Danio rerio: one gene and its partners. Each later gene encodes a partner of the first gene's protein in a complex. Links are inferred from orthologs where the notes say so. Each region holds a gene or a part of one and is shown on either strand. Other genes may lie near its edges.

The links.
Region 2: the proteins of gnb1b (region 1) and kctd5a are in contact, whole or in part, in a cryo-EM structure (PDB 8U7Z), measured with the Homo sapiens proteins. The link is inferred for Danio rerio from reciprocal best matches to the Homo sapiens genes GNB1 and KCTD5. Residues at the interface, in NP_001269468.1 of Homo sapiens: Arg52, Gly53, Leu55, Lys57, Tyr59, Gln75, Asp76, Gly77, Lys78, Thr87, Asn88, Lys89, Val90, Ala92, Pro94, Leu95, Arg96, Ser97, Ser98, Trp99, Met101, Leu117, Gly131, Asn132, Val133, Arg134, Val135, Thr143, Tyr145, Gly162; in NP_061865.1 of Homo sapiens: Val157, Arg159, Val160, Leu161, Gln162, Cys163, Gln164, Glu166, Glu167, Gln170, Met171, Thr174, Met175, Ser176, Asp177, Trp179, Ser190, Tyr191, Val205, Lys207, Leu209, Glu219, Ser221, Lys223, Ala224, Leu227, Gln228, Arg230, Gly231, Ser232.
Region 3: the proteins of gnb1b (region 1) and trpm3 are in contact, whole or in part, in a crystal structure (PDB 6RMV), measured with the Mus musculus proteins. The link is inferred for Danio rerio from reciprocal best matches to the Homo sapiens genes GNB1 and TRPM3. Residues at the interface, in NP_001153488.1 of Mus musculus: Lys57, Tyr59, Trp99, Val100, Met101, Leu117, Tyr145, Gly162, Asp186, Met188, Cys204, Asp228, Asn230, Asp246, Arg314, Trp332; in NP_001349418.1 of Mus musculus: Lys615, Arg616, Lys618, Ala619, Lys621, Leu622, Leu623, Gly624, Met625.

The regions. Positions count from the first base shown.
Region 1 is NC_133181.1:56,065,028-56,069,367, forward strand, and holds the start of gnb1b (guanine nucleotide binding protein (G protein), beta polypeptide 1b), read right to left. Parts: upstream 2,822-4,340; 5' UTR 2,543-2,821; intron 1-2,542. UniProt on the Homo sapiens protein: Guanine nucleotide-binding proteins (G proteins) are involved as a modulator or transducer in various transmembrane signaling systems.
Region 2 is NC_133178.1:44,428,532-44,432,604, reverse strand, and holds the start of kctd5a (BTB/POZ domain-containing protein KCTD5a), read left to right. Parts: upstream 1-1,255; 5' UTR 1,256-1,287; coding exon 1,288-1,509; intron 1,510-4,073. UniProt on the Homo sapiens protein: Its interaction with CUL3 suggests that it may act as a substrate adapter in some E3 ligase complex. Does not affect the function of Kv channel Kv2.1/KCNB1, Kv1.2/KCNA2, Kv4.2/KCND2 and Kv3.4/KCNC4.
Region 3 is NC_133180.1:26,453,495-26,457,509, reverse strand, and holds the start of trpm3 (transient receptor potential cation channel subfamily M member 3), read right to left. Parts: upstream 2,819-4,015; 5' UTR 2,465-2,818; coding exon 2,288-2,464; intron 1-2,287. UniProt on the Homo sapiens protein: Constitutively active, non-selective divalent cation-conducting channel that is permeable to Ca(2+), Mn(2+), and Mg(2+), with a high permeability for Ca(2+).

The sequences.
Region 1 (4,340 bases):
TTATGGATGATGAAAAAAAAAGTCTGCAAGTTTGCAGTATACAACATACTTTATAGAAATTCTATGAATTAAACAAAGCAACCCAAAAGAAACAATGCTAATTAAAAGGATAAGAGTTGTTCCTCTACAGAGCAAACATGACTTATTTTACCTTAGATTTTTGCATTTATGAGATGAAAGTTATGGATGTGGCAGATGTGAAATTGCCACTTGTGTGACTTTGCTAAATCAAATATAATAGTTTGAAAACATTGACAGAGAGATTTTTGAGTAGTGTAAGCACTGCAAAGTATTTGCCAACACCAAAAATGTAGAAACAGTTTCGTTATTTTGGTTGAAGCTTAGTTTTTTCATGACAAGGCTGACATTTACATGGAAATGCTCAAATCTCAACATGCTTGCATTAAAACACCTGCGAAAACAAATGGGCGTTAGTTTGAAAATCAAAATAGATATTCAGAATTACATTATCTGAATAGATTTCAATTATTCCATCATAATTATACACATATCAGCTTCTGAGGTGCCCACTGCGAATCAATCTGATGCTTTTAGTTATCCACAATTACAAAACTGCATGTGTATCAATGCAGATTGCACAATGTATAATGCAAATGGATTACAAGTAATGCTTCAGCAAATGTAACACTGCCGAGTAAAACATGAACAATGACTATAATAAACATGATAAGCAAAGAACCAACTTAGGTGCATAAAAAGCAGGATGTCTGGGAGGGAGTTAAAAACAACAATGTATGCAATGAATCATCCATTATGCTTTTGTTTTAAAATAAAATCAAACAAAAGTGCATTATCTAAACACAAAAGGGTATTGTGAGAGCTTATGTGCATGACTGCAAAGAAATGTCTACATTTATAGCACCAGAAGCACAAGTTGAAATCAACAAAATGTGAACGATCACGTCACGGTGGACTCGAAACACTATTTGATATTTCACAATTGCATTTCGCGTCATAAAGGATGAGGTTATGCAGCTTTAGGTGCCACACAAAGAGCATTTTATTTAAAAAAAAACGATAAACTCTAGCTTCAAAATATGTTCCTGGAATCGTTTTTAAAACAACGAGCTTCGTTTAAGAGCAAAACGGTGCTTTTTTCGGCGTTTCAGCGGGTTAAATGAACGGCATGCTGATATGAGTGCGGAGAGGGAAGCCGGAGAGAGAGGCTACGGACGCCATCTTGTTCTTGGGCCCCACATTGAAGAATTCATTGATTCCGTTTATTTATTCATGAACGGTGTTCCTTTATCTAAATGCCAGCGAAGAGAAAGGCAAACTCGATCGGTAGGGGAAAAAAGAAGGAGGGGGCGCAACATATTTATCCCATAGCCTATATTTCCCCGACCAATCCCTTAATAGTGACCTCAATACTGAGCCGCTAGCCCGTTCTTAAAATATTCCAGCAGCGATGATAAAGGCCATCCGGCTCCATTCATTTCGCGTATCTGAAGAACTGCAAAGCTCTTTGCTGCATTACTCTGATACACGATCGCAGGAGAAAACACATCTAGCAGGTCTTTTATTCTTTATCGTCAGCAAAAGCAATTCAGCGAGAATCGTAGCGGAGCATCACCGAGATGTCGCGAAGAGAGGCAGTGCACCTATATACCTGAACAGCAAAGGCCCTTTAAACACAGGCTTAATGAAATCCAATTAGGTTGTTTAAAAGAGTAGTTAAAAGAAGCAGCGCACACTTAACGCAATAAACATTAACACGAGCTAAGTCGCTTAAATGCACACGGGATTTCGGATTACGCCATTCTGACTCGTAATAAATCCATCTCCATGTAAATGTGTGTAGGGGAAAACACACTAGGACGGCTTGTAATATACAGCCAGATGGTGTAGATTGCAATAGACGATCGGGTGAACAAATAAATGGCTAATCTTTATTTACCGACTGCATTTCGATCAATATTCACTTGTAGTACACGAGAGTGTGTAAACCAGCATTTGCCTAACCAAAAATCCTCGATTCTGTAACACAGAGGAAGGCCTAGCTGAGCTGAAAAGCCGAATATTTTGCCAGCAGAAGCTCCGGTAATTAGCCTGTTAGCTTACAGACCAGCCTCCAACCAAAACCCCCCAAACTTAACATTTAAAGCAATCTTAATTGCTATTAAAATGCCCCTATCAAGCACATTACTGAATTCCCCCAAACCTAAATTGGTTTAATTCTGAAGTAACGCCGATTTTTGGGTGCTAACAAGCGAACTCGCACTAAACGGCCTCCGGTTAAGTCGGCCGACTCAGTTCACGCCATAATGACCGAGCGAGAGATTAAATGCACTATAAATTCACATTAATAAAACACACACGATGATAACTGTTTAAAACAACCGTTTTTCGCATATTTGCCTGCCACTGTTGTGTATGTAAATCGCTCGGCTAGCCGCTACCTGCGCCTCACCCCACCCCCCTTCATTCTCTATGGTGACCAGCATTTTATCCAACAAATTCACCCGATTAGAACGAAACATTCAGTTCCACACACTTGAAATAAGCACATAGTGTTCCATACCTGTTCTCAGTCGTAAATGGCCTTTGTTTATATGGCATTGACCGAAAAAAACGATGGTGTGGCTGTCAAATCCACGCATCAACGAACAAGACGAGCTAGCTCGCTAACTAGCAGCGGGAGAAGTACCGAGTCCACTTCCACAGCGACAAAACTCGCTCCGGCGGGCGGGAAATGAGCCTGTACGAGGGGGGATCTCAACTGCGAGGAAAAGCTGCACTCATAAATGTCCGATTGGAGACTTTGGTCAGCTAATAAGTCCGTCGGTGGCCACTTCCCGTTGCCTTCCTTGAAGGAACACTTCTCTCCAGTTCAGTTCACCTCTCATCCGGCCATCAGACGGAGATGGGCGCGGTAACCCTGCAGTCTGCCCTGGGAAACCCCACGCCGCAGCGCACGGGCGAGCGGCGCTCTTACGCAGGAATGGAATTGACAGAAACATTTCCAAGCCAATTTAGCAAGATTTGAATACACTGATGTACTTTTTAAAATGCTTAACGTTTTTAAAAATATTATACAACCCATATTCCATTAATAGATTAACCTGAGCAAAGACTTTATGGAGAAGACCGAGGCTTTGTCACAATTTACTACAGAACAGGTTTTTCTCTATAGGTTTAGCTGTACTTTGTTTGAAGTGAGATTTTGATATAGGCACAAGTGCAAATTTAGAGATTTATAATAATAATTATATTAACAAAATCATTTGAGAAAAGTATTGTTTGCTAATTCTGAATAGTTAAATCATATTCGCAGCCAATGACTATCAAAGTAGTCCAACAGTGTTGATGTTAATAGTGCTAATGTTGTTTTGAGAAATCGTGTAGGGGACTTATATAATTACAGTGAATTTATTAACACTTTTGGTTTAAAAAAATACTTTGAATAAATACAAAAAAAAATGTGTTCATTGTATCTCCCTAAAATAAATGTACCTTATTAAAACCACAAAAATATATAACCATGTATCTGGCTCTCTTCCAGAGCTTACTATTAAGGGCCTCTCTATCATGGATAAAAAACTGAATAACAATTATATCAGGAAAATCCTGACTGCAGATAAAAGTGTTCCTCTAATAGCAATGGTTAAATGGAAACAAGCATTCCCTTCATTCTTTTCCCCCAAAACTCTGGTCAGATTTTACAAAATACATACTTCCCAATAAAGTAAAATAAACTATTTGTAAAATATTACATAGATATTATCCATGCAATGGTTTTATTAGTAGGTTTAAGGAAGGTTTTTCACCTTTGTGTTGTTTTTGTAAAATGGAACTGGAAACAATTCTTCATTAATTTTTCAGTTGCAGTTACACAAAACGGCTTTGGTCCCAAGTTTTCTCACTACTTTTTGAAGTGTATTGTAAATTTATCAATATAACTGATAAAATGGTTTTATTTATGGACTGCAACTCTGGGAAATGGACAAAATAACAAAAAAAATCTTATTTTATTTGGAAAGTATCACATCCGCAAAACAAAATGTATGCTGACTGTATTAAAGTGTAAACTATTCTTCATTGATCTAAATAATTTTATGATTCCCTCACTTCTATACAGAGTAATACTAAAGTTTAAGACATCCCAATTGCTGGAAAAATACTTAATGTACATAATTAATTTTTGTTGTTAATTTTCTTGAATACTGTTTAATGTATAATTATGTACTCCCCTGTTTAATCAATAAATTTTTTTTTGTTTTGAAGTCGTATTTGCACGCGATTTCAGAATATTCAAAGTAACATGCTAAACAAGAGCGCATGTAACAAGTTGTTACTGAACCAATGTGTGAATATAAAAC
Region 2 (4,073 bases), on another chromosome or scaffold:
AGGAGTTGGAAATGATTATCAACTTTTTTATTAGTTCCAGACTGGACTATTGCAACTCTTGTATTTAGGAGTTTTGCCTACTTGAATTGTACGCCGGCCTGCAGCTGCTTCAAAATGTAAATGTTCAAAAAAAGAGGTGGCAGGGCTTTTTCTGTCACTGCCCCTCGTCTGTGGAATGGTCTACCTTTACATATCAGTTCATGCTCTTCCTTGGGCGCTTTTAAGTCTCATTTTAAAAATCACCTTCTGTTTCTTGCTTTTGACTAATTAATTCATTCATTTTCTTTTCGGCTTAGTCCCCTTTATTAATCTGGGGTCGCCACAGTGGATACAGTGGAATGCCAACTTATCTAGCATATATGTTATACACAGCGGATGCCCTTTCAGCCACCACCTAACCCTGGAAAACACCCATACACTCGTGCATTCACACACTTATACAGCCAATTTAGCTTTTTCAATTCACCTATACCACATTTCTTCAGACTGTGGGGGAAACCCACGCCAACACAGGGAGAACATGCAAACTTGACACATGAATGCTAACTGAACCAGCCGGGACTCGAACCAGCAGTCTTCTTGCTGATAGGCAATCGTGCTATACCCACTGCGCCTCCGTGACGCCCTGATTATAATTATAAATATAGAAATATAGATTTTGTTTGTTGGTTGTTTTGTAAAGCACTTTGGTCAACATCTGTTGTTTTTAAATGTGCTTTATAAATCAATCAATCAAACAAACAAACATTTATTATATTTAATTTTATATTTACTGTTAATTTAAATTGTTAAAATATTACAATTTTTGATGGTGTTTTTCTTACAGGATCAGCACTTTTACATACGATTTATTGTTTCATAAGAGGCCCCACATCATGTGTCTATTTTAAAGACCAAAACAACAATCATTGTCAGTCTACTGCTTTTATTTTCACAATTACACAATTTCTCAGAAATAGGAACGAAAAACACGGGAAAGAAAGAAAATTCCTTTGGGCTACATAAAAAAGTATTAAACTGTCTTTCTAAAACGGCGAATGTGCTTCAAAACTAATCCAGCTGTCTACCTAGATGTCCAAGTCATCGCAGCGCATGCCCATTCATGCGTTCTAAAAAGTGCAGTCTACCTAGGCAGCTCAGTGCGTTTTTGAGACGCCGCCCTTGCAGTTGTCTGTAAAGGGAGGAGGGCAGAGCTGCTCTCAAACTCAGCACACTTCCTGCTCTTGCTGTAGTTCCATCAGTCAGTCAGTGAATCCGTGAGTCCGGCAGCGGGAGTGCAGAGGAGGGATGGCGGAGAAGAGCCCTGACCCGAGCGGCTCCAACGGTCGGCGGTGTCCCGCTCCTTCTCCCGGAGAGAGGCTGCAGCCATCCGGAAGCGGCTCTTCCAAATGGGTTCGTCTGAACGTCGGCGGCACCTACTTTCTAACGACGAGGCAAACGCTGTGTAGAGACCCGAAATCTTTCCTGTACCGCCTGTGCCAGGCCGACCCCGACCTCGACTCTGACAAGGTATTCAAACTAGCTTGATTCACTAGCACGACAATGAGCATTATTTTTCGCTTATATTGGCTCTGAGCAGTTCGGTTAAACCGGGGAAACCCGAAATGACGGCTCTGCGGTGTTCCCCTTCGCTATCTTTATGTTTTTGAATATTTTAGCTTAACGGCTAGCTGATAAAGTTACATTAAACGGAGCCCCCCTTACTAGCTTAGCTTAACCGATAACACTTGGTGTAACGTTAACGTTACTGGGTGAAGTCAACATTAGCTGTAGACCTAAAAATATGGTCAAATATGTATATTTGTTCTTGTTTGAGCATTTCGCGTTAAAATGCATAACCGTACTCCAATACCGTTTCTTATAGGAGTAACGGTAACGTACATGTCACGTTCTAACTGATTAAGTTCCACTAGTGTTGATTTAACAAAACCTTAACTCTTTAAAACGATAACATTACCAATGCTTGCTCGAGTAAACATAAAATATTACAAAGATACTTTATACATGTTTTCATTTACCCCACTGTTTAAAAAAAACTGGGATCTTGAGTTACCAAGTCGGACTAAACTATTGAAATAGTGGTCACAGTTTACATCAAGTCTTTACCATTAATTAATACGACCTAGCAATGAGCATATTTATTTAACATTTTATTTTTAAATGTATAATGTGTACCAACAATGAGCTAACAATGCAGCATAATGTTGCCATTAAGATTGTAAATACTGGAATTTGTATTAATTGTTAATTGTATGTAATGCAACACATATTGTTAAATTTACAGAAAGTCCTTGCATTTTTATAATTGCTCATTTCTTCTGACTGCTGGGTTTCTTTTTTTTATCTTTATAATTTTTGTATTGTAATATGTAGTTGGTTTTTGCCATCCATGAACATGTCTTTGGATGTGAATTGGCAATAATGTGAATAACTAATTTATACATAATAATTTAACAGTGGGCATAAAGCATATGTTTAGGAAAAAAAGTTTTGATCTTTTTAATTTAATAATACATAAAGTAAACAAACCAACAAAAAAGTAATATTTGAAGTTCTGTCAAATGATTAATCACATTAAAAAAAAAGTTCAGATTTATAAAATATATGTGCATACTGCCTGTGTTATAACTATGTCATAACTGTTGTGTAAAATATTTGTGTATGCATCTGAATTATTAGCCCCCATGTTTATTTTTTTTCTGTTTAACGGAGATAATTTTTTTCAACACATTTTTAAACATAATAGTTTTAATAACTCATCTCTAATAACTGATTTATTTAATCTTTGCCATGATGACAGTAAATAATTATTGACTAGATATTTTTCAAGACACTTCTATACAGCTTAAAGTGACATTTAAAGGCTGAACTGGGTTAATTAGGTTAACTAGGCAGGTTAGGGTAATTAGGCAAGTTATTGTATAACAATGGTTTGGTCTGTAGACTATTGAAAAAAAAAATGCTTAAAGGGGGTAATAATTTTGTCCCTAAAATGGATTTAAAAAAAATTCAAAACTGCTTTTATTCTAGCCGAAATAAAACAAATAAGACTTTCTCCAGAAAAAAAAAAAATTATCAGACGTACTGTGAAAATTCCCTTGCTCTGTTAAACATCTGTTAGGAAATATTTAAAAAAGAAAAAAAAATTCAAAAGGGGGCTAATAATTCTGACTTCAACTATGTATAATTTTTTTAAATATATTTAATTTGTACTTTGTACAGCATGTGTGTATTTATACATACACAAATATACACACTACACATGCATATATTATGTAAATACGAACTGTTATCTTGTATGCGATTAATAATTTGACAGCACTGAATATTTTACATTCATCTCATAACATTTATTTTTCATTCTTTGTGATGTAAATGTCATTCTTATGAATGCTTTTTTTATTTTTTCCAATTGCAATAATTGGCTTAATCTTTTTAAAAAATAATAATTGATCTGCAAAACAATTAGCACACAAATAAACTGGTTATATATATATATATATATATATATATATATATATATATATATATATATATATATATATATATATATATATATATATATATATATATAAATATATATTTATATTTATATTTATATATATTTTCTTCTTCTTCTTCTTCTTCTTCTTCTTCTTATTATTATTATTATTATTATTATTATTATTATTATTATTATTATTTATTATCCTCCAGCATCAGTGTTTTTAATAAATCCTTCAGTTTCTTCCATGTGTCACAAGAAGAAATGGGGTTGCCTGCATGCCTTTAAACTTTTAAAGGTCACTATGCATCATTTATTAGGGCAACGACATTTGAAAGCCGCTAAATAGACAAAGAATTTCTTCTGTCCAAAAATATTTCTTCCAAATTAATTTCCCTATCACAAGGTTGAATTTGCGTGACTTAACTGTAAAGGTCGCTCTCCTGAACGCTTTAATGCGAGCGTGAACGCTGTGGAATAAAGCTGACTTTTCTGACCTCGGTATCGATCTGTGGTAATGATGTTGTGCTGGAGATGGATCAGCGTCCCTATGGGCTCTGCTGCATGTATGTTAAATGTCAGCCACACC
Region 3 (4,015 bases), on another chromosome or scaffold:
ATTTACCCTGGATCTCCATTAGGCGCCTTACAAAAAGGCTCTTATTAAATTTGTTGAAATGGCTTACACTTCAACGTCAAAGTCTCCGAAACAATGAATTTTGTCAGTTTATTTAAAAAAAAAAGTGTTTTAAAGTTGATGAAGGTGTGAATCACAAACAATCCATATGATACACAAAGCAGAGTCGTTTCTATAGCAACATGACCACAAATATCTCACCTCCTCCCACTTAAAGACAATACTGTTATTATTAATGTAGTATTTCACAAGAGAGTTCAGACATGAAGCACATAGTAAATACTTACTGTATGGGTATATAATACATATATTGCTCAAATGCAAATACAATGTAGACGAACATAACCTTGCCATATGGGACATGGATATACGCTAATATATGATCATCTTTAAACTAATTGTTTTTACATACAAACATCAAGATGAATGTTTTGTACATCAGATGAAGGTTTTGTTGAAGTTGCAAGAATGATGTAATTCTGCAATAATAGAGCAACTTCAATAATAGAGCCGATAGAAAAATTTCGGACAATATTTTTTCTCTTATCACATTATTGTGTATCAATTCTTACATTGGTATACTGAACAATAAATGGTGATGTGACGTGTGAAATTCACTTAAAGGGATAGGTTCTGTCATAATTTACTCATTCTTTACTTATTTCAAACCTTTAAGGGTTTCTTTCTTCTGTTGAACACAAAAGAAGATATTCTGAAGAATGCTGAAAGCCATGGTAGGAAAACAAATACTATGGAAGTCAATTGTTACAGGTTTCCAGCTTTCTTCAAAATTTCTTCTTTTGTATTTAACAAAAGAAAGAAATACCAAAAGGCTTGAAATAAGTATAATGAGTAAATTATGACAGAACCTATCACTTTATGTGAATTTCACATCATATCATCATTTATTGTACAGTATAACAATTTATGAATTGATACACATTAATATGATGGAAGAAAAAAATACTGTCAGTTATTTTTGTATCGGCTCAATCTCTATTATTGCATCATTCTTGATATTTCAACAAAACCTTTATCCCGACAAATTGATAACAGTACCTTTATAGCAAATATGCCTATTTTTTTTCATCAAAAAAATTAAATAAATAAACCAAATAACAAAAAAAATCTATTAATTTTAAAATCAAAATGTATGTACAAGACCAGTAAATGTTTTTATATGTGTTAATTCAGCAAATTTATAATCCTGTATGATACAGTAAGTCACTTTGCTCTGTAACTCAAAATTAAACACATTTTTAGATATATCGTCACCTTTGAGTTATAAGGTTCTATTTGACATTTTTGTCAAAATTGAGTAATTGACATATTCTTATTAAATGACAACTTATTTACATTATGGGATGATTTTTATAAGTTTTTTACATTTTAAGATTTTTTATTTTAAAAAAACAAACGTCACACATACTGTCTGCGATATGGAATGCTAAAACTTTGAAGCTCAATATCTCAAAATCATTCAGAATGCAGATAGAACCTTTTAATTCCAAGGTAACCATATATATGGGGTATATTTTTTGTGTATATTATATCTCAAAATGTAAATGTCCTCAAAGGATTAACTCACATTTCATAAAATACAAAATCTATCCCTCTAGCTAAGTAATTCAAACTTTGCAACTGGATTTGGCAAAAAAGTAGTCAAAGAATCAGTCCTCTGGGTGACAGATGGTTTAGAGCGTGCTTCAGGGCAAGCTCTTGTGCTTAGCAACAACTGACCCACTGAGCTTTCCCTCATTCTGTGCTAATCAACTGTTATTGACTCCAAATCAGCATAAACTACAGATGAAGTTTTCTTGCTGGAATTGCTATATGCCTGAAAACCAAAAAATGATTTCCCCAATGTAGCACATGGAGTTTTCTATGGCCTGAAGTAACAAATCATTTCACATCAGACAACATTAATAAAGCTTCCAAACTGGCACACGTTTTTTTGGAGAACACCTCATTGTGATACACATCTAGGCAACAATAGCTTCACCCATTTTTTATTTTTTTTTGCTGATGCTTTTCTGTGTATCTGCAAGCATCATCCTAAAAACTTTCCACTCACATACTCTGAGGCGGAAGAGGACCTTTAGATTCCCACCTGCTTAAGCCAGACTCTTTCCTGCACCCCTCTCTCTATCTCTGTGTGATCCCATGCCTTCATTCTCTGCTCTTCCTCTTTTTCACCAGCAGTCCCTCCCTGTGCTCCCACCCTCCGTACTCTAAATTCAAGAAAGTAGAGTGTTCTTCCACTTCTTACCGCAGCTTGCTGGGAGGCCAGTCCTGACCTCTTGGTAGACCCCTGTCTGGAGCTCAGTCTCTTCCAAGATTCGGAGAAGCGCCCTCTGGTGGAGGGGCGTCCAGGCCCCTGTGCCTCCTCCCTCGTGGAGCTTACCTTGAAGCCTTCTCTCCTCCCCTCCCATTTTCTTTTTGTCATAACTTATAAGATTTTCTTGATGACACTGGTATGAAAAACCACGGAAACGAGCAGCCCTAAACTATGATGATTCTTCTTCTAAAACTCTCCGCAAGTTGTCAGGTCATCTCTTTCCTGAGCTTTTCTTGAATAGAGACACAAAAGAAGTGGTGGGAGTTTGGCTTCTACACTGTTGCATGTGGTCCCGCTGCTTCAGTTAATCTACAATCCGTTGAAAGATGCAGAAGGAGAAAGACTCAAGAAAAAAAATCATACGTAGCCAGTACAGCCCCGCCTGCAAGGTTCCTCTCCGGTCTCAGCCTCCTGATGTCTTCAAACTGAGCGGGCAAAGGCAAAGCAAGTCACTCTGGAACTGAGCTCTCATCCTCACGCTCTCTCCCCACCCTCATTCACACTCCCTCCTTTGCTCCCTCCCTCTTTGCCTGTTACATCTCTCTCTCTCATCTGCTTCACTACCAGAGTTCACAGCTCACGTGTCGCCCACTCTCGACGTACGCTGTTGTGGAGATTAAAGAGTTATTCAGAACAAAAGCTGAAGGTTTCTACAGGTCTCTTACTCCCCTGTGGACACACACTGGTTTTAATCGACAGAAGAATGCGCTCTCTGGTGCAGTACAAAATGCTAAGAACTTTTAATACATCTAACATGAAATGTGAATCACCAAGATCTGCACATCTTGAGACCTTTTTTTGTTACCACTGACATGTGACCCCTAGTTAATTAATACCTTACTAACTACCTTGTGATATTTGATACTAAAGAGTCAGAGACTTGATGTTCTTCACTTGAAAACATCTCTGCACTGTCATGTGTACAACCAGGGGAAAACAGACCTACTTTACATATATAGAAATTGAGGAACATCCTCCTACTGATCTGATAAAAGCCTAATTTCCACTGCGTGGACAAGAGTATGGTGTGATTTAAAAAGGAAAGCCTGAATATAACCGGTGTATGCTGGAAAAATACACAATCAGATGCAGTCAATAGTCATGGTAAATGGTAGAAAATTGCAATCGGTGGAGGATGCACGATTGATGATTCTCTGACAGGTAATCAATGTTTTGAAGTGAGTCTCTCCACCCTTTAGCTATTGGTCTATACCCAGTATAAACAAGCAAATCAAGGCAATCCAATTTATCAATGTATCTGCACAAAATTGTAGCAATATTGTACTATTATAGCACAGTGATACACACTAATAATCGAAGACAAACTGATTCATGATAAAAACAACCTGACAATCAATGGATCCTATTTACATCTAGAATATTGTATATTGTGTTTTGTAAGTCCCACCCACTCATAGTTGCCAAGGTTACCACAAGAAAACACTAGTCCAGCAAAGCTGCTGGTTCATTATCATTCCAGTTTACATCAACGCCTAACCTATAAAAAAAATGTGAAACATATACCAAAGCAGCAATTATAGCACATACTGTCAGAGCTTTATTATTAATTGGTCAAGCTAAAAAATAAAAATACTTAGTTTTAAGACAATTAGAATTCTAGCAATAAAATTGAACAGGATTGTTTTTGTAAAATGAGAC